Linked DNA regions of Canis lupus familiaris. The protein of the gene in region 2 purifies or fractionates together with the protein of the main gene of each other region. This does not show direct contact. Links are inferred from orthologs where the notes say so. Each region holds a gene or a part of one and is shown on either strand. Other genes may lie near its edges. The genes, in order: TOPBP1, SLX4 and PGAM5.

What was found.
Region 1: the proteins of SLX4 (region 2) and TOPBP1 purify together in Homo sapiens (affinity purification with mass spectrometry; 3 studies listed by BioGRID, with this or other methods). This does not show direct contact. The link is inferred for Canis lupus familiaris from reciprocal best matches to the Homo sapiens genes SLX4 and TOPBP1.
Region 3: the proteins of SLX4 (region 2) and PGAM5 purify together in Homo sapiens (affinity purification with mass spectrometry; 4 studies listed by BioGRID and IntAct, with this or other methods). This does not show direct contact. The link is inferred for Canis lupus familiaris from reciprocal best matches to the Homo sapiens genes SLX4 and PGAM5.

The regions. Positions count from the first base shown.
Region 1 is NC_049244.1:31,094,273-31,101,093, reverse strand, and holds the start of TOPBP1 (DNA topoisomerase 2-binding protein 1), read left to right. Parts: upstream 1-2,992; 5' UTR 2,993-3,103; intron 3,104-3,245; exon of another isoform or gene 3,246-3,374; intron 3,375-3,526; exon of another isoform or gene 3,527-3,682; 5' UTR 3,683-3,689; coding exon 3,690-3,773; intron 3,774-5,872; exon of another isoform or gene 5,873-5,874; coding exon 5,875-6,009; intron 6,010-6,489; exon of another isoform or gene 6,490-6,627; coding exon of another isoform or gene 6,628-6,654; intron 6,655-6,821. UniProt on the Homo sapiens protein: Scaffold protein that acts as a key protein-protein adapter in DNA replication and DNA repair. Composed of multiple BRCT domains, which specifically recognize and bind phosphorylated proteins, bringing proteins together into functional combinations.
Region 2 is NC_049227.1:37,952,265-37,958,304, forward strand, and holds part of SLX4 (structure-specific endonuclease subunit SLX4), read left to right. Parts: intron 1-1,521; coding exon 1,522-1,699; intron 1,700-2,638; coding exon 2,639-2,851; intron 2,852-4,877; coding exon 4,878-5,083; intron 5,084-5,181; coding exon 5,182-5,504; intron 5,505-6,040. UniProt on the Homo sapiens protein: Regulatory subunit that interacts with and increases the activity of different structure-specific endonucleases.
Region 3 is NC_049247.1:424,704-429,990, reverse strand, and holds part of PGAM5 (serine/threonine-protein phosphatase PGAM5, mitochondrial), read left to right. Parts: intron 1-405; coding exon 406-621; intron 622-2,089; coding exon 2,090-2,215; intron 2,216-2,293; coding exon 2,294-2,382; intron 2,383-2,462; coding exon of another isoform or gene 2,463-2,482; coding exon 2,483-2,616; intron 2,617-4,881; coding exon 4,882-5,032; 3' UTR 5,033-5,287. UniProt on the Homo sapiens protein: Mitochondrial serine/threonine phosphatase that dephosphorylates various substrates and thus plays a role in different biological processes including cellular senescence or mitophagy. Modulates cellular senescence by regulating mitochondrial dynamics.

The DNA.
Region 1 (6,821 bases), on a different chromosome or scaffold from region 2:
CCTCAGTAGACTCAGTATGCTTATGCTTTACTTTCTAGGTCACTACATACAACAATTTAAACAAATGTTTTGCCACTGCAAAGATGGTTTCTGCAGCAATAAAGATCATTTACTAACCTCATTTTTAAGTTATAATCCCTACATTTATCCATTTACAGCACTAGAAACTTAAATATAAACTTTCATTCGAAAAATACTAAAAATATTTTTAGTTTTCAGAAATCTTATCTATGTAGCAAAATATAACAAGAAATACTCATATTCCCTACACCTATATTTTAAAAGATAATTTTAATTTCTAATTTGTTATATTTATTTCTTGTGTTTTTTCATTCTACAGTTAAATATCAAGTTCCTGGGATCCCTGGGTGGCTCAGCAGTTTAGCATCTGCCTTCGGCCCAGGGCATGATCCTGGATTCCTGGGATGGAGCCTGCTCCTCCCTCTGCCTGTGTCTCTGCCTCTCTCTGTGTGTCTCTCATGAATAAATAAATAAAATCTTAAAAAGAATTTTTTTTTGTAAACATCAAGTTCCCTTTAATCCTATTTCAAGCAGAGTTTGGAGTGTCTGACTACTGATGACAGAAATGCCAAAGAAACAAGACGGTGACCCTGAATGCCAGTGAAGACAAACTTAATTCTGAACTCCATCTTCTGAGGCAGCTGTCCGTAGGGAAATCACAGCTGTTCCCCCTTTTCACCAAAACCTTCATGGACCACAACCCATATCACCACTTTCACCCTTCCCTCAGAGATGCTGTTTGGGCAAACTTTTGTGTGTATCAGAATCAGCTGGAGGGCTTACTAAAATGGAATGCCAGGACCCACACGCAGAGTTCCTGACTAAGCAAGTCTGAGATTAGGCCCGAGAATTTTCATTTCCAACAAATTCCTAGTTCATGCTGATGCAGCTGGTGCAGGCACTACACTAGATTGAGAAACACTGCTCTGTTTTCCAAGACTAGGTACTTAGGGGACAGATACAGACCTTCCTTGCCTACCTGGAGACACAGATGGGAGAACTTGTCACCTGGTCTATTCTAAGGACAAGACCAACTCCTCTGTTATTAAAATCAGCTGGCTAAGAGCTAAAGGGGTGAGTTCATTTTCCTCCTCCTCTTCATTAGAGCATCTATGACTCTCCTCTCATGAAGCCTCCACTTGGCCCAGAAGTGTTAGGGATGGGCTCCTGCCTCCTGGTACAGAGAAGGCAGGCAGCATGTGACAAGGATAGGGTGGTGTGGGAAGGGCAAGGGGCTTCCAGTCACACTACCTCTTATCAAGCCTGGGTGCAGCCACTCCCCAGCTGTGTGGCTCTGGGACTCACTTTCCCCATCTACACAACACGGGATGATGATGCCCACATCCTAGAAGATTGCTGAGGAGAGTAGACAGGAATAGTGCAAGCAGGGGTCCTTTGTTGACTGTAAAGTACCCCACAAACAGTAATTATTGCCACAGCTTGTGACAGATTTGCTCCTTAACAATAACCTGTAGCAGTGGTGGCTCATTCTCCTGGTTTTTATTTTTTTATTTTTTACAACTCTAGTAACTTTGGTTTATTTTTAAGACTCTCCTCACCCTCTCCCCAACAATGACCTGTACCTCTGAGCCCCAGTGTTACTGATTCTGACTCACCTTGCACAGGTGTATTTACACACGTAGACTCATCCTTGGGCACTAAAAGGAAAAACAGTTGGGGTTAAACTGTCATATTGCTCAACCCAAAGTCATGAGCTGCTTCTTTTTTTAAGATTTTTTTTTTTATTTATTTATTTATTTATTTATTTATTTATTTATTTATTTATTTATTTATTTATGAGAGAGACAGAGAGAGATTGAGAGGCAGACACACAGGCAGAGGGAGAAGCAGGCTCCATGCAGGGAGCCCAATGTGGGACTAGATCCCAGAACTCTGGGATCACGCCCTGGGCTGATCAACCTCTGAGCCCCCCGGGCTGCCCCTTAGCTAGTGTTTTTTATTTTATTCCTCACTCTTGAGATTAAGAAGCTCATGACTGGGGGATCCCTGGGTGGCTCAGCGGTTGAGCGCCTGCCTTAGGCCCAGGGAGGGATCCCGGGATCGAGTCCCACCCAGGTCGGGCTCCCTGCATGGAGCCTGCCTCTCTCCCTGTGTCTCATGAATAAACAAAAAAAAAAAAAAAAAAAAGGAAAAAGAAAAGAAACACTAGCTAAGCAATTTGTCACGGGTCAACAAGCCAGGATTCCGCAGGTCCATTAAACCCTTCTCATCCCTGTCCTTTGCCATTTGAACATCAGGCTCCACCCCCAGAATCTCCCCAACCCTCAGGGAGTTAAAGGAAATGAGACAGCCTTGGAAGAGGAGCAGAGACCACTGAAGATCTTGACCCAGACCCTCTTCCTCGGCTAAGTGACTCAAGTCATCCTGACATCTTTCTTTCCTTGCGGAGGCCATATTCCTCCGGAAGGCTCACATTCCTCCGACATTGGAGGAAAAAGGACCCTTCTATGGAGTCAAAGAGCCTTGGACGCAGTTTTAAGGCTACCATTTACCACGTGACCTTACATCGCTTAACTTACCGAAGACTCTGTTTTCACATCTGTAAAACGCAAATAGATGCGACACTATGTGCCTCAGAAAATTGTTTAGGGCGATAATACACGTTTTCTCACACACTGCCCTGCATATGGTAGTATTTTACTGATCGGGGAAACCTGATTTTCCCCGGGGCTTATTTCGCCAGGTCGTCCCGGCCTGCTACCCCACGCCCCGAGCTGTGCACGCCCGGCCAACTCCCGACGGAGCCAGGGCCCGCCTTCCAAGCCCTACGCCCCGGCACCCCCCCAGCCGACAGGCAGCAGCGCCACTCCCGCCGCCGTCGCCGCCACCCTGCCGCGGCGGCGGCTGGCGTCACTTCCGCCGGAAGAGGCGGGCGCGTCCGCGCGGTTGGCGCGAAAGTCGGTTCGCCGCCTCGGCAATTTCCGGGTTCTGCGTCGGCTTCGGGTCGGGGGCGCCGCGGGCTGCGGCGGGTGTGCGCCGGGCTGGCGCCCGACCCCAGCCGCCGTCTGGCAGGCCGCGCGCCCCTCCGCTCCCCGCCCGAAGGCCCGCAGGCTCCCCCGAGGTGAGTGAGGCACGGGGGGCGGACCTGGCTCCCTCCCCACCGCGGTTGGGGGGTCGCGGCACCTCCGCCGGCCTACGGGGCCCTCGGACCGGCGGGCGGGACCTTGACGCCGTAGAGGATGGGGCCGCGGTTGGACCGAGAGCCGGGCCCATCTGTGGCAAGAGGCAGGCAGGAGCGCTCGGCCTTCTGGGGCATGACCTCGCTAACCGGCTTCCTTGTTTATATTCAAGTCCGTTTACTGAGTGAACAAGCGTGGACAGTCTGGTTCTGTGTATCCTTAAGTGCAGTTGAATTGCTCCTTGGCTTAGGGGTCGTAGAGCCCCAGAGGCCCTGAACGTATTCAATTTAAAGACTTTCATTTCATTCTCTGACGTGCAAGGATTGATGTTGTCCTCTTTTTCCTTGACTTTGCCCACATTCCAGCGTTTCTTAGAAACTAATGAACGAGTTCATGGGCAAGGCCAGAACGTCTCTATCCTTGGGCATTGCTGTTCTGCACAGAAAAAATAGGTGCTTTTAACATGTAACTTCATACGTGATGTGTTTTTGTCCTTCTTAATGGTTCCTCTATTTTGACAGTTCAAAAATGTCCAGAAATGACAAAGAACCGTTTCTTGTGAAGTTTTTAAAGTCTTCAGACAATTCCGAATGTTTTTTTAAAGCTCTGGAGGTAAGAATAGTTTGAAAATGGCCGTGAATTCATTTCCTCCGTTTTAGTGTTTTTGATTTGTTGGGCTTTTTATGTCTTAGTAATGTTTTATTTTCACTCTAGTTTTACTGTAGTGTACATCAACACGGATGTGTCATTACATAGTTTTGGATTGGGGTAATAAATAGTTCATTATTATATATTTTGGGGGGCATGAAATCTATCGCTTTTTTTTTTTTTAAGATTTTTATTTATTTATTTGACAGCACAAAGCAGAGAAAGAAGCAGACTCCCCATGGAGCAGGCAGCCCGATGCGGGGCTGGATCCCAGGACCGTGGGATCATGACCTGAGCTGAAGGCAGACACTTAACCAACTGAGCCAGGGCACCCTATTATGACATTTTTATTTAAAGTAGCAGAGCTGCTATTCTTGAAAATTACATTGCTTTCTTTGTCTACTAGCCAGAGTAGACCTTTGTATGTTGAAGAAATTTGAGTCTGTTTTGTACTGGTTACACTTCATTTTTTGGTAATTAGAAGTAGGTTTCACCATGTACACTGTAATATGGGAAGGTGTGGGGGGGTGTTGTAGAGCCTTGCTACTTAGAGACCCCGGCCACATCAGTAGAGTTGGAAATGGAGAACGTTGGGCCCAACTCAGACTGACCAATTAGAATCTGCATTTTAAAAAGATCCTCAGGGCAGCCCAGAGCCGCCTGTAGCCCAGGGTGTGATCCTGGACACCCCAGATCGAGTCCTGCGTCAGGCTCCCTGCATGGAGCCTGCTTCTCCCTCTGCCTGTGTCTCTGCCTCTCTCTCTCTCTCTCTCTCAATCTGTGTCTCTTATGAATAAATAAATAAAATCTTTAAAAAATAAAAAGATCCTCAGTGTGATTCCAAAGTTTAAGAAGCACTATTGTAGCAGATTTTTTTTAATATATATTTTTTAAGATTTTATTTATTTATTCATGAGAGACAGAGAGAGAGGCAGAGACACAGGCAGAGGGAGAAGCAGGCTCCATGCAGGGAACCCGACGTGGGACTCGATCCTGGATCTCCAGGATCACGCCCTGGGCTGAAGGCAGCGCTAAACAGCTGAGCCACCAAGGCTGCCGTGTAGCAGATTTCTCTTAAAGTTCATTCAGCAAATAATTATTCAGTGTCATGACGTGTTAAGCACTATTGTAGTACTTGGGATACACAAGTGATTACAGCAAGCAAAGATCCATACTTTCTCAGAACTTACATTCTATTTTAGCAATAAGAACTAGACATGAATCAGTAAATGAGTAAACTGTACGGTATGTTAATAAGGTGCTATGTGTTACGGAAAGAGAAAAGAACAAAACAGATTAAGGAGTTCTAGAGAATGTTGAGAGGAGAAGGGAAGGTTACAATCTTTAGAGTGTGATTGGTGAAGGCTTTATAGAGAAGATAATTGAGTACACTTGAAGGAGGTGAGATGGTTGGCCATGTGGATGTCTGGGAAGAAGCTTTCAGGCAGAGAGAACAGCCATATACAGGCCCCTGAGAAAGTACTTGGAAGTGCCTATCCAACAGTAGTATGGCTGTAGTATAGTGAACGGGGGATGGGGGAAGAATATTAAAAAGTACCTTAGAGAGTAAGGGTACAGAGGTCATGTAATGGGCCTTAAGGACTATTGTAAGGACTTTGACTTTCTCTTTTTCATTTGAACAGATCTGAAGTGAGGGAGCAAGTCAGATGAAGACTGGGAGGGTATTCCAGGTAGCAGGAACAATAGCAGAGCCTCTAATTAGGTCATGCTTGGCTTGTTTCAGGCCTAGCAAGAAAGTAGGAGTGGCTAGAGAAGAGTAGGAGAGGTGAGAGGTAGAGGGTTAAGAGTGAGGAGATAGACAGGGGACAGACTCATGACCTGATTTGTATTGTTAGAGATCGATCACTAGTTGCTGTACGGAGAAGAGATTTAGGGCCAAGAAAGGAGAAGGAACCACTTTGTAGACTTCTGCAGAGGTCTAAGTGAGAGATGATAGTAGCTTTCAATGGGGGAAAAGATTGGATGGATTTTGAAGGTAGAACTCATAGGACTTAAATACAGGTGAAAAATTTTATGTGCATTCTTTCTTTTTTTTTTCTTTCAGTCAATAAAAGAATTTCAATCAGAAGAATATCTTCAGATTATTACAGAAGAAGAGGCATTGAAGATACAGGAAAATGATAGGTCACTTTATATCTGTGACCCTTTTAGTGGCGTTGTCTTTGATCACCTCAAAAAGGTTTGCTAACTTTTCATGTGTTCCTTCCATAGTCTGATTTTTGTTTTTGCTTCAGTGGACATAAGTTCTTTACTGACCGTGAGATATTATACAGATTATGAATATAGAGGAATCCTTTGGTTTTAGGAAACCAGACTAGTATTTTTAAAGGCTAATCATGTTACAACAAGCTTTTGTTGTATGTAATTTTTATATTACAGGAGATTTAACTTCTCTTAGCTTAAGTGAACTGTATAGTAATGAAACATTTTAATGACAGAGTTCTACTGTACTTAAACTCAGATTTTCAGTAAAGAGTAGGAAAAGATCTCAACATAACGCTTGGTTACTTACTGTCTTTCCTATGTGCACTTGCACGCAGAATTTTAGTACCTGTACCTTGTAGAGGGTCTGAAACATTATATGCCTAAAGGAAACATTTTGGGGATGAGTATTGCTAATATACCAATGAGCCATCTTATCTCTCTTTGTTGATTCCAGAGTCTACTGACTCATTACTTTTTTGGTGTCTGGACAAGCGAGAAGCATTGAAATAAAAGTAAACTGGCTGTAATTCCATCCAGATTACAAAGAAGTGATTCTTGTTTGAAGGAGAAGAAAACATAGAAGAGTAGGTAGATGCAGTATCTGCACAATTTATGGAAGGTCTGTGCCCACCTTTGCCAAAAGCATTGTTGGTCTTACCCTCCTTTTGGAAATAACACTCCTTGTCAGATAGAGTCAATAGCATTAAAAACTCAAATTTTCTTGGCTGAACAAAAAGATAGCAGTAGTCATTTACCATGTAGATCTTTTAAATCAGTCATGACTTA
Region 2 (6,040 bases):
GGTCCCTTGGGTCATTTCGCATTTAGCTTCTTTGACAAAGGACCTCTTCCTCTTATTTTGACTTTTTATTATGATATTTTTCCCATACAGAAAGGTAAAAAAAAAAAATATTACAATGAACCCCCATGCCCTCAATCTGTATTTAACAATTATTAACATTTTGGCATGTATTTTTTATTTCTCCTAAGTATATCTGATTCTTCTATACCATTTCAAAGTAAGTTCTAGATGTCATGATGCTTCTCCCTCATACATCTCCTACATGATCACAGTGCTGTTGTCACACTTGATTCCATAATACTGCCTGGTGTCCAGTTCATATTAAAATCTCCCCACTTGTCCCAAAGACAGCCTTATAGATGGTTTCTTTTTTTTTCTGAACAAGGATTGGTCAGAACCATAAGTCCCACACACTGCATCTGCTATAGTTCAGTAGTCTTTTAAAGTCTAGATTCTAGAACAGTCCCCTTGTCCTGTTTTTTTTTTTTTTTTTTCCATGATACCAACTTTTGGAAGAGTCCAGGACAATTGTCTTTTTAAATTTCCCACTTTTAGATTTGTTTGATTGTTTCCTCATAGTGTCACATAACCACTTCCTGTAGCCCTGTGGTATATTACGTGTGAGTAAACCAGAGGTCTGGGGGGCCTTGGGTGAAGGCAGCAGGCACCAAGCGTGCAGGTGCCATGCAGGTGCCATGCAGTGCACCCTCCACCACCCCAGGAGGCACGTCATACCCCTGGTTCTGTTCTTTCCCCCCAGAACAATGTGAGCCCTCCTCTCTGGTGAAAATACACAGAAAAGAAATAACTAGGAAGAAACTGTATCGATGGACCTGCAGCTACAAACACATAGTCTCCTGGTAGTGGGTTTGCAGAGTTCACCCTGGGAGCACTGAGGATTCTCAGGCTACCTCTAAGGTTCACACGGGCAGAGGGGACATCCACCATTGCATCACCCCCTGTGACTCCACCGGGGTGCGTTGGAGTTGCTCAGCTAGGACACGAGCTCAGCACTTGCCCTGCGTGTGACTCGGTTGTTTGCATCAACCTTCAAAGCATTCCCAGTAATGCTCAGGGCTCGAGACAGAGAAACCATTTCTTTGTTGAGAAAAAAATAAGGCACCAAAATGAGGTGCGATGCTTTTCTGGCTTCGGTGGGAAGATAGGCCACAGGAATATTCAAGAACTGGGGACTTCGGAAGGTTTCCGCGTCTGTGAGTGCCAAGGGCCTCTCTAGCAAAAGGTCATAGCAGTAGGAAAGGCTGAGCTTTGCAGGGGAAGCCTGTGCTCCATGGAATGGGTGGAGGCTCAAGCAGGAGGGGACAGGAACGGTGCGTCCGCCAGGGCCTGGTTGTGACAGTGGCCGAGGCGCTGCCACCTCACGGGGCCTGGGAGCAGCGCGCAACGGGAGGCCTCACGGGCGGCTGCCCGGTGCTGGGTGACGGTGGCCGCGTGTCCGCCTGGTGCTGCAGGAGCGTGGGCAGCAGGGCCCAGCCCTCACTCCCCTCCCTCTCCCCCCAGGGCCGGGCTACGGGCTCCTCGTGCTGGAGAGCACCCTGCAGCAGGGCCTTGGGCCCCACGGAGCAGCCACAGCCACACCAGAGGGCAGCCTGGAGGAGGCAGGGCTGTTCTTCTGCCAGATCTGCCACAAGAACCTCTCGGCCATGAATGTGACGCGAAGGGAGCAGCACGTGAACCGGTAGGAAGACAGACTGGGCGGCCGTGACCAGAGCACCTCTGCATAGGCCTCAACCTAGCCCTGCCATTTCATTGGACAGCTTTATTGAGCTGCGATTCCCATATTATGCAGCTCATCCTTTTATTTATTTTTTAAAGATGTTATTTATTCACAAAACACAGAGAGGTCGAGACCCAGGCAGAGGGAGAAGCGGGCTCCCTGTGCGGACCTGATGCGGGACTCGATCCTGGACCCAGGGTTATGGCCTGGGCCGAAGGTGGATGCTCAGCCACTGAGCCCCCCAGGCGTCCCAGGTCATCTTTTTAAAGTTAACAATTCAATGGCTTTTATTTATTATATTCACAGAATTGTGCAACCGTTACCACAATAAGTTTTAGAATATTTTCATTACCCCCAAAAAGAGACCCTGTCCCCATTAGCGCTCACTGTTCATTCCCCCACTGCCATCCCCTCGCAGGGGCTAATATACTGTCTCCGCGGACTTGTCCGTTGGGGACGTAAGCGGAGTCACGTAAGATGTAGCCTTTTGTGTCTGGCTTCCTTCCCTCAGCGTAGTGCTTTCAAGTTCAGGTTGGAGCACGGATTGGAATCTCATTCCTTTTTACAGCTGAATAATATCTTGTCATATGGACAGACCACGTCTTGTTCATCTGTATAGATTGTCTCTGACTTTTGGATTTTGTAAATAGAGCTGCTGTGACCACGTGTTTCTCATGTTAGAGTATCTGTTCTCACTTCCTTAGGGTACACATTGCCACTGTTTGCCATGTCCTTGCTCACTTCAGCCAGCAGATACCTAAATTTAGCATTAGAAGCTGACTGCAGGCTATGTGGAGGAGTGGGCTATGGCAGGACAGGCTGGGCCCACGGCCTGTCTATGCTGACGTGGATGCACGTTACTGGGGAGAAGGTTCTCTTATGTTTACTGTCTTCCTCCAGGTGCTTGGATGAGGCTGAAAAGGCACTGACACCCTCCATACCTCGGATCCCCGAATGCCCAATTTGTGGCAAACCCTTTCTCACCCCAAAGAGCAGAATCAGCCACTTGAAACAGTGTGCAGTGAAGATGGACGTCGGCCCCCAGCTCCTGCTCCAGGCCGTGCGGCTGCAGACAGCTCAGCCTGACGGGGCCTGTAGCACACAGGCATCAAGGTGAGTCAGAGGAAAAGGAGGAAAATCAAAGAAATACTTGGATTGTTTCTTTTTAAAGCCTTTTGTATTATTAGAGAACAGTAGAGCCTGAGAACCCTCCTTGATTCTGGAAATGAGATGTGAGGAGGAAATCCGGCAGAGTCTCCACCAGGACTGAGGAGGAGACAGATTCTGTACCCTCGAAGGCCTTGAAATGGTCCACGCAGGTGTCGTCTGGAGGAGGGAGGAATCTGGTAACACACCTGATTGTGTCCATTCACATGTGGTGTGCCACAGCTTCCACCTCCGTGCAGCCCGAGTCTCCTACCATTTGGTGAAGAAGACTCAGTGAGTTCACACAGTTGGTGAGACAGAAGCACAGGCCTTTTTTTTTTTTTTAAACGTGCATGAACTAAATGCTTACGTGTTACAATAGGAGGCCTTGCTCCTAGCTGGTGCAAACCACAGGCACATAAGCAGCTCAGCTCCCCTCCCTACTGCCCGTGGTGCTGTGGATGCCGCGTTACAGGAACCAGTGTAGGCTCTGCACTTCTGTAGGTTTGGGACTTCAAGAGCAAAGGGAAGGCCAAGAGTGGTGGCCCTGTTTGTCCTGCCCACTGCCTTGCACACAGGTTGTGGGCATCTGAGCCAGGCCCATGGTGAGACTGGGGTGGACACAGGTGGGTTCTTAGCTGGTGAGCCTGTCCATATCGTAGCACATCAACACTAGCATCTCAGAATCGGAAGCCTTAAGGCCCTAGCACAGACATTACGTAAGCCGTCACTTGCCTTCTGCGAGGACTGGATGGAAACCACCTACTCAGATGAAATATATCTGCTTTTTAAATACCTCTGAGAAGGGACACCTGGGTAGCTCAGGGGTTGAGTGCCTTTAGCTCAGGGCACGATCCCAGGGTCCTGGAATCGAGTCATACATCGAGATCCCTATGAGGAGCCTGCTTCTCACTCTGCCTGTGTCTCTGCCTTTCTCTCTGTGTCTCTCATGAATAAATGGATAGAATCTTAAAAAAAAAACAACCTTTGAGAAGAGAAACAAGATGTGTGTGGGTCCTTCTAGAAGGTTGATAAAGTAGAAAAACTATAGCAAATGGATACCCTCACCAAGGCTTCGAGCCTCCTCTGCCAAAGGCCAAGCCTGGGGTATATGGAACTCTGGAGTAGTCAGATGCTGGGACAACCCCTTGCCTTCTGGGAGGAGAAGGGAACCTGTGGGGTTCCCAGGAACTGGAACAGAATTAGGAGTTGCTCAGATCTTCCAAGGTGATGCCTGAGATTCTTGAGCCACCCCTGGCCCAGGAGAAAGCATGAGCTTCTATAAAGGGTGCTTTTCGTAGCATTCTGACAGCTGGGTTGAGCTCCAAATTTCTCTCTCGCCTTTGCCCTCCTATTTCTTGCTCAGTCTGTTGGGGTTCACCAGGTGGTCTAGGTTCTCCAGCTGGAAAATCCTTTAAGACAATCTCCAAGTCAAATGAGCTGCTGCTATACACTGACCTCCAGGCTGGCTGACCATGTTGGTAGTGGAAGCTGGGAAGCCTTTCCTTCGGGCCTGGGGCAGAGGCGATGCCTACAGGCCCTGCAGGAGGAAAGGGATCCTGTCATGGCTAGTGTGGCCAGGACTGCCTGAGGGGCACCTGAAGGATTGATGAGCAGAAGTTGGTGGAATCCAGGAAGCTGACTCCACCAAAGGGTTTGGCCACACCTGGAGTGTGCAGGTACCACTCAGAGCTTGATACACCTGCCAGGAACTCAGCAGGGTAGTGTCACATGGAAGGACCAGACCTCCCCTCTCTGGGGCGCACTGAACTTGGCCCAGGATCATGTGACCTTAACATGAGGCAACAGGATGAGCACAGTGAACTCCCAGAGCCATTGATGCCTCTGTTTAATGGGTCTGTGTTTATCCCTTTTCTCTTCCCAATGCAGAGGAGATGGGGTCTGGGCCTCTCTGGTCCAGCAGGGATGTTCCTGGCACAGGAAGTGCTCACACCCTGGCCTCACTAACCTTTCTGTTTGGCTGCTTTTTAAGCTTCAGCAATCACGGAGGTTTGAAGCGGAAGGGAGCCACCAATAGGAAGGAGCTGCAGAAGAAGCGGAAGGTCAACGAGCCCGAGGTGCCATCTGAAGACTTGCTGGTGGCCATGGCTCTGTCCCGGTCCGAGATGGAGCAGGAGGCCGTGCCCCCCGTGCTGAGACTGGAAAGCGCTTTCTCCGAGAGGATAAGACTGGGGGCAGGTAGGTGCGGCGCCAGGCTGGCACAGCCTCACCACTCCTGCTGGGCCTCAGGGTGTGGGGCAGCTCTGTCACTGACCCTGTGCTTCCGTTCACCCCAGAAAAGAAGAGTCGCAAGAGGAAAGCACCTGCCTGCCCTCCCCTGTTGTTACTCCAAGACCCGGAGACCACAGGGAGGCAGACCGAAGACCGGGTGGCCCAGCTCTTTGCGGAGGAGATGGAGCTGTCCAGCACACCGCCACTTCCTGCGAGCAGGATCCTACAGGGGGAGCTGGAAAAGGCTGGCCAGAGTCTGCAGCCGCCTGGAGGGAAGAAGAACTTTTTGTGGGAGGGCAGTGCCCTGACTGGAGCCTGGGCTCTGGAAGCCTTCTACACCACAAGCCTGGTCCCTCCCCTGGTGCCCCAGCGGTCTGCCCCTGCCGAGGTGTGTCCCCCCTCTGGGTGCACGGTGGGCTCTGGGGAGAGGCTGGCAGCCAAGACAGCAGGACGGGTCATCAACAGAAAGTCCAAAAAGGAAGGAAGGATAGGAAGTCAGGTGTGCCGGCTGTAGCGTGTTTGTCTGTATGGCAACTGATGGCTCTCCTGGGGAGAATGGGAGGACCCCTGGTTCCCGAATGTATCCTGTTCCCGGAGAGTTTGTTTGAAATGCAGTCCAGGGCCCCACCCCCAGGGGGCTGGCATACTGGAATCTGAGGAGTTGTCCCCGTGCCTGGGGTGGGGCCCAGGAGCCAGACAACCCTGATGCAGGTGGGCCTGGAGTCACTATGTGCTTGAGGCCATTTAGATAACATTAGGGGGACAGGACCCTCAGAGACTGTACATGTAGCTGCAACAGGCATGGCCTTCACTGTGACAGAGAAGCCTGCTGGTAGACGGTGATGGGAGAAAAGCTTCCCAGGGTTGCTCTGGGTGTGGCCGGCATTCTCAGGACCCCTCTGTTTGGTGGCTGCTGTAGTGGCC
Region 3 (5,287 bases), on a different chromosome or scaffold from region 2:
TAATATCTTTATTATTTTGAATTTAAGTAGCCACACAGCCAGTATCTAGCATTGGACAGCACAGTTGCAGGCTCTGCTTCAACATGGCCACACTAGCTTTGTGGGCACTCCCCAGCTACCCCTTCCTGGTACCTGGTTTCGTTTTCTACACATCTCTTATCACTTGGCTGTTTTTATCAGTCTCTTTTCACTAGAACACAAGCTGCATGAGAGCTTCATTTGTCCACTTCATTCACTGATCACCCCAAACAGGCCTGGCACTCCGCTCTGGGTAAATGCGATGTGCTCTAAGAGGATGGGCTCTTAGGGGCCACAGCAGAGGGCAGAGGGTATTGTTTGTCCCTGCGCTTTCCCAAGACGGAAATACCGTCTAGTCAAAAAAACTCAATTCTGATTTGTGAGCAGAGATCACAAGGACACGCCTCTCATATTTCAACATTAGGCGAGAACCACTATCCTTGGTCAACCTGCGGAAGAGGAACCTAGACTCTGGAGAAGAAGAACTGGCGTCCAGGCTGGACCACTGCAAAGCAAAGGCCACACGACACATCTTCCTCATCAGGCACTCCCAGTACCACATGGATGCCTCCCTGGAAAAGGACCGCACTCTAACACCCCTGGGTATGTGCTGGGACTCAAGCCCCAACTGACACTTGTCCTAGTGACGCTGGGCCCCTTTGGACCTGTGTCAGGGGCTTGGCCCAGATTCAAGAATTGTCATTAACAGTGATCAGCAACCTAACTGATACAAGACAGGCATTGAAAACATCCTCAACTTTAGGGGCGCCTGGGTGGCTCAGCAGTTGAGCAGCACCTTTGGCCCAAGGCATGACCATGTGTCCGGGGATCGAGTCCCGCATCAGGCTCCCTGTGGGGAGCCTGCTTCTCCCTCTGCCTGTGTCTCTGCTTCTCTGTGTCTCTCATGAATAAATAAATAAAATCCTTGAAAAAAAAAATTCCTCAACTTTAAAAAATGTATGGTGGATCTCACAGGTGATCAGACCCAAAGCACAGCAGAGGTGTTCTATACTCCCTGATGCTCTGTAAGTGGCATAGCCCATGCACCCTGTTCTGCTTGACTTAACCTGTTGCTGAAGATCCTTCTATTCAGCACTTGCAGATCTGTTTAAAGTTTGCTTCATAATGGTAAACAGACAGGATTGAGTGATAGCTCTAACCATCTCCCTGGCAGGAGTGCTACTTATTGCAGTTTCTTGCCATCGTGAGCAGCACTGCGGGGCATGCCCTTCCACCGTGGTCTTTGTGCCCATGTGCAAGCATATCTGTAGAAGAAATTCCTAGGAGAGGAAGTACAGGGTGGTCTGAGATAAGGTTTACATTTTTAAAGATGTCTTTGTTGGATAGGATATTAGCCATCTGTGCACATTCAGTGCTACATGCACTTGAAACTGACCTTCTGAGAGCATTTTCATCTAGATTCTAAAATATATATATATATATATATATATATTTTTTTTTTTTAATTTTATTTGAGAGATTGAGCAAGACAGAGCACAAGCGGGAGGAGGGGAAGAGGGAGAGGGAGAAGCAGACTCCCTGCTACGCAGGGAGCTTGACTTGGGACTCAATCTCAGGACTCCAAAATCATGAGTCCAAGGGAGACACTTATCCCACTGAACCACCCAGGCATCCCTAAAATATATATTTGAGAAAAAAGATTTGTATTTGTACACAGACTGTACTTAGTGAATGCTGAGGCCATTTGGTCTTTACGTGTTGACATCTGTGATAATGCACAACTGGTCGATCCATGGCACGTTGCAACTCCATGTTTGGACAAAATTAAAAGTGGCATAAAGGACACAAAGATAGGAACAGGATCCCAGATCTCAGGGATCCTCAACCTTGGTCATTAACATTCCTTCTGTATGGAGCTAAAGGTAACTGCATTATCTCATTGTTTCCACCTGTCAAATGCTTGGCCCCTAGTTAGGGCCAAACCCCAGGAGGGTCTGCCCGTCTTGTTCCCCAGCCGTAAGGGCACTTGGTAAAGGACTGGAGTATTTCTGAAGTAAACAAAAGAGGAACTCCAGCAACCTATAATTCTCTGGTGTTTTTCACCTTCAAGGTCGTGAACAGGCTGAACTAACTGGGCTCCGACTTGCAAGCTTGGGGTTGAAGTTTAATAAAATTGTCCATTCGTCTATGACCCGAGCCATAGAAACCAGTGACATCATCAGCAAGCACCTGCCAGGTGAGTGCCCCGCATCTCCAGGGCACACTGGGTGGCTAGTCCTGAAGGGGCAGCACCTAGCTGCGGCTTCTCTTACAGGTGTCTGCAAGGTCAGCACAGACCTGCTGAGGGAAGGCGCCCCCATTGAGCCCGACCCGCCTGTGTCCCACTGGAAGCCAGAGGCTGTGGTAAAAGCCCCACTCCCCCCGAGCCCCCCCGACCTGCAGCCTGCATGCCCTGCGGCCTGCATGCCGTGGCCATCCTTAAGATTCCTTGCTCTGCCCCCAGCAGTATTATGAAGATGGAGCCCGGATTGAGGCCGCCTTCCGGAACTACATCCATCGGGCAGATGTCAAGCAGCAGGAAGACAGTTACGAGATCTTCATCTGCCATGCCAATGTCATCCGCTACATCGTGTGCCGGTGAGGGGTGACATAGGTTCCCTGGCCCACCATCCTTCCTGCCAGCCTGTGCCAGTGCCTCTTCCCTGGAGACCTTAGCCTTCTGGGAGAATGTCAGTTTGGAGTTTTTCCATGATCGTGTATTTATGGCGGGAATAGCACAAATGTGATCCACTTGTCCAGGGTAGGTCGGGGTGCCCGAGAAGTCAGTGGCACATTCTGGGTGATGCTAACACGGTCACTTGGTTCAGGCACTGTGCGCTGGACTTCACACCGTACAGTCGGTTTTTCCCCCTCAGTGATTTGTAAGCGTCTTGGGAGACAGTGCAAATCTTCTGTCCCTCTGATTTATACCGACTGACTTTAGCCCATTGGGAGTTCCTGCCACAACAGATACAGTGGTGGTGCTCACCTAATGGTGGTTTTGCATTTCTGTCTGTCATTTGTTATTTGAAATCCTTCTGTAAGACCTCACTCTTACTCTGTTTATTTGTAGGATTATAGACTCATAGATCTGTATTTAGCACTGTGGATTAGAACCCATCACCATGTTCGTCCCTTCACTGCTCTGGCTGCCCCAGCACTGGCTGCCCCAGCATTGGCTGTTGGGCCCCCAGGAGGCTTCTGTGTCCTCTGGACCTGCCTCACTTCCTGGCACTAACGGAGGTTCCAGAGCCCTCATGAGTGATGCCTGCCCTGAGTAGCAGCCATGTACCAAAGGCCCTTGGAGGTAGTTAGGCCAGCTGGGTGCTTATGTATTTAACCAAAGTTCACTTAGTGAAAAATTTGAAGTAACTGGAATCCCAGACACCCCCTGGACCCATTAGAAAGTGTGCATTGGGCATTTTAACAGCTGAGGGATCTCCTCTTGTGATGAGTCTGACAGGGCAGGACAGGACACAGCCCACCGGCTGGCCCACAGGACTATCCAAATGTAGGCCCAGGGTCCTTGCTCACCATGCTTGATCCTTGGACCTTTCACCAGGGCTGGCAGGAACGGGGTCATTTCCCCTCCAATGTCCCATGCACGGCCTCTGGTGAGAAGCCCAGGGCATCCGAGGCAGGGGGCACACTGATGCCAGGAGTCAGGCTTCTCAGCTTGGTCACAGGGCTCCAGGCCAGGTGGAGTGTTGCTGGGGAAGAGGGGTGAGCCTCAGACAGGCCTCCACACACTCTGAAGTGCTCAGCACTTCATGTCCTCCAGAGGGCATAGTCTCAGAGCTCCTGTGCTCAGCACATGCTGTTCCCCGGCACCACCCTCATTGCTGCTCTGGATGTCTCTGCACCGTGGAAACGCCATAATCTAACACCCTGTGACAGGCTGACCCCAGCAGCCACTAGAAGTGACCCCAATGCTGAAAACTAATCAGAATTGGGGACTTGGAGTAGAGGTGACCTGTGTGCCATAAAGGGCTAGAAGGAACCAGAGCATCCCTGTCACAATACATGAGGTTATTTTGGAGTTTGTGAGGGACACAAGGAGAAGACTTTAAAAAGCACCATGGTGGCTGCAGAGTGAGCCAAGGGGATGCCCCTTACCATTTAGGGCACAAAGGATGTCTGATGACTTGGGGAAGCCATGATGATACTGGGCTTTTCAGCAAATACTGCACCTAAAAAGTGTTCCTGAGGACAAGGAAAGGCTCTGGGCTTGTGGATTATACCACCCTGTTCCTGGGCAAGAGTGGAATAGGAATGGGTCCATTGCACAGTCCGGCTGCCCCTGCCCCCTTTTGGTTACACTGGAAAAAGAAGTCAATGGAAGCCATGTATTTCTGACTCACATGCACATCTGGAGTTGGGTTAATCCCCTGACCCAAAGAGGGGCTGGGCTGTCCCCATCCCCCTTGATTTGATGGGAGATCATCAGCCCAGTAGCTCTGTCCTCTGAGAGACCCCTTGCTGAAAAACAGGAGGGACAGACTTGGCTATATGGGTCCCAGCCCCAAGAAAATCTCTGAGGGGGATCCCTGGGTGGCGCAGCGGTTTAGCGCCTGCCTTTGGCCCAGGGCGCGATCCTGGAGACCCGGGATCGAGTCCCACGTCGGGCTCCTGGTGCATGGAGCCTGCTTCTCCCTCTGCCTATGTCTCTGCCTCTCTCTCTCTCTCTCTCTCTCTCTCTCTGCAACTATCATAAATAAATAAAAGTTAAAAAAATATTAAAAAAAAAAAAAGAAAAAGAAAATCTCTGAGACCCTAACTGGGGTGGGGGCTATTGCATTGCCCAGACCCCAGCCTGTTTTGGTGGCTGAGCCCTCTGTTCTAGCATGTTCTTTCTCTTTCCAGGGCACTGCAGTTCCCTCCTGAAGGCTGGCTCCGCCTGTCTCTCAACAATGGCAGCATAACCCACCTGGTGGTACGGCCAGATGGCCGAGTGGCGCTCAGGACCCTCGGGGACACAGGGTTCATGCCTCCAGACAAGATATCGCGCTCCTGAGAGCTGCTTGGAGGACCTGCTCTCCTCTAGCCCCTGTGGCTCCCATGGGTGTCACCCAGGACATGGTTCCTTCCCCATCTTCCCTCCACAGGCTGCATTGTGGTTACATTGCACTCTTCCTGGAGAGTGAGAAAGTACAAATATCTCAAGTATCTAAAATGTGGTATTTGGGTCCATACTTGGCAGCCCAGGATAGAAAAGGGAATTGTTCTGAGCAGAGCAGCCTGACTTCCCTCTTGGGGTTTCCTTCCCTGT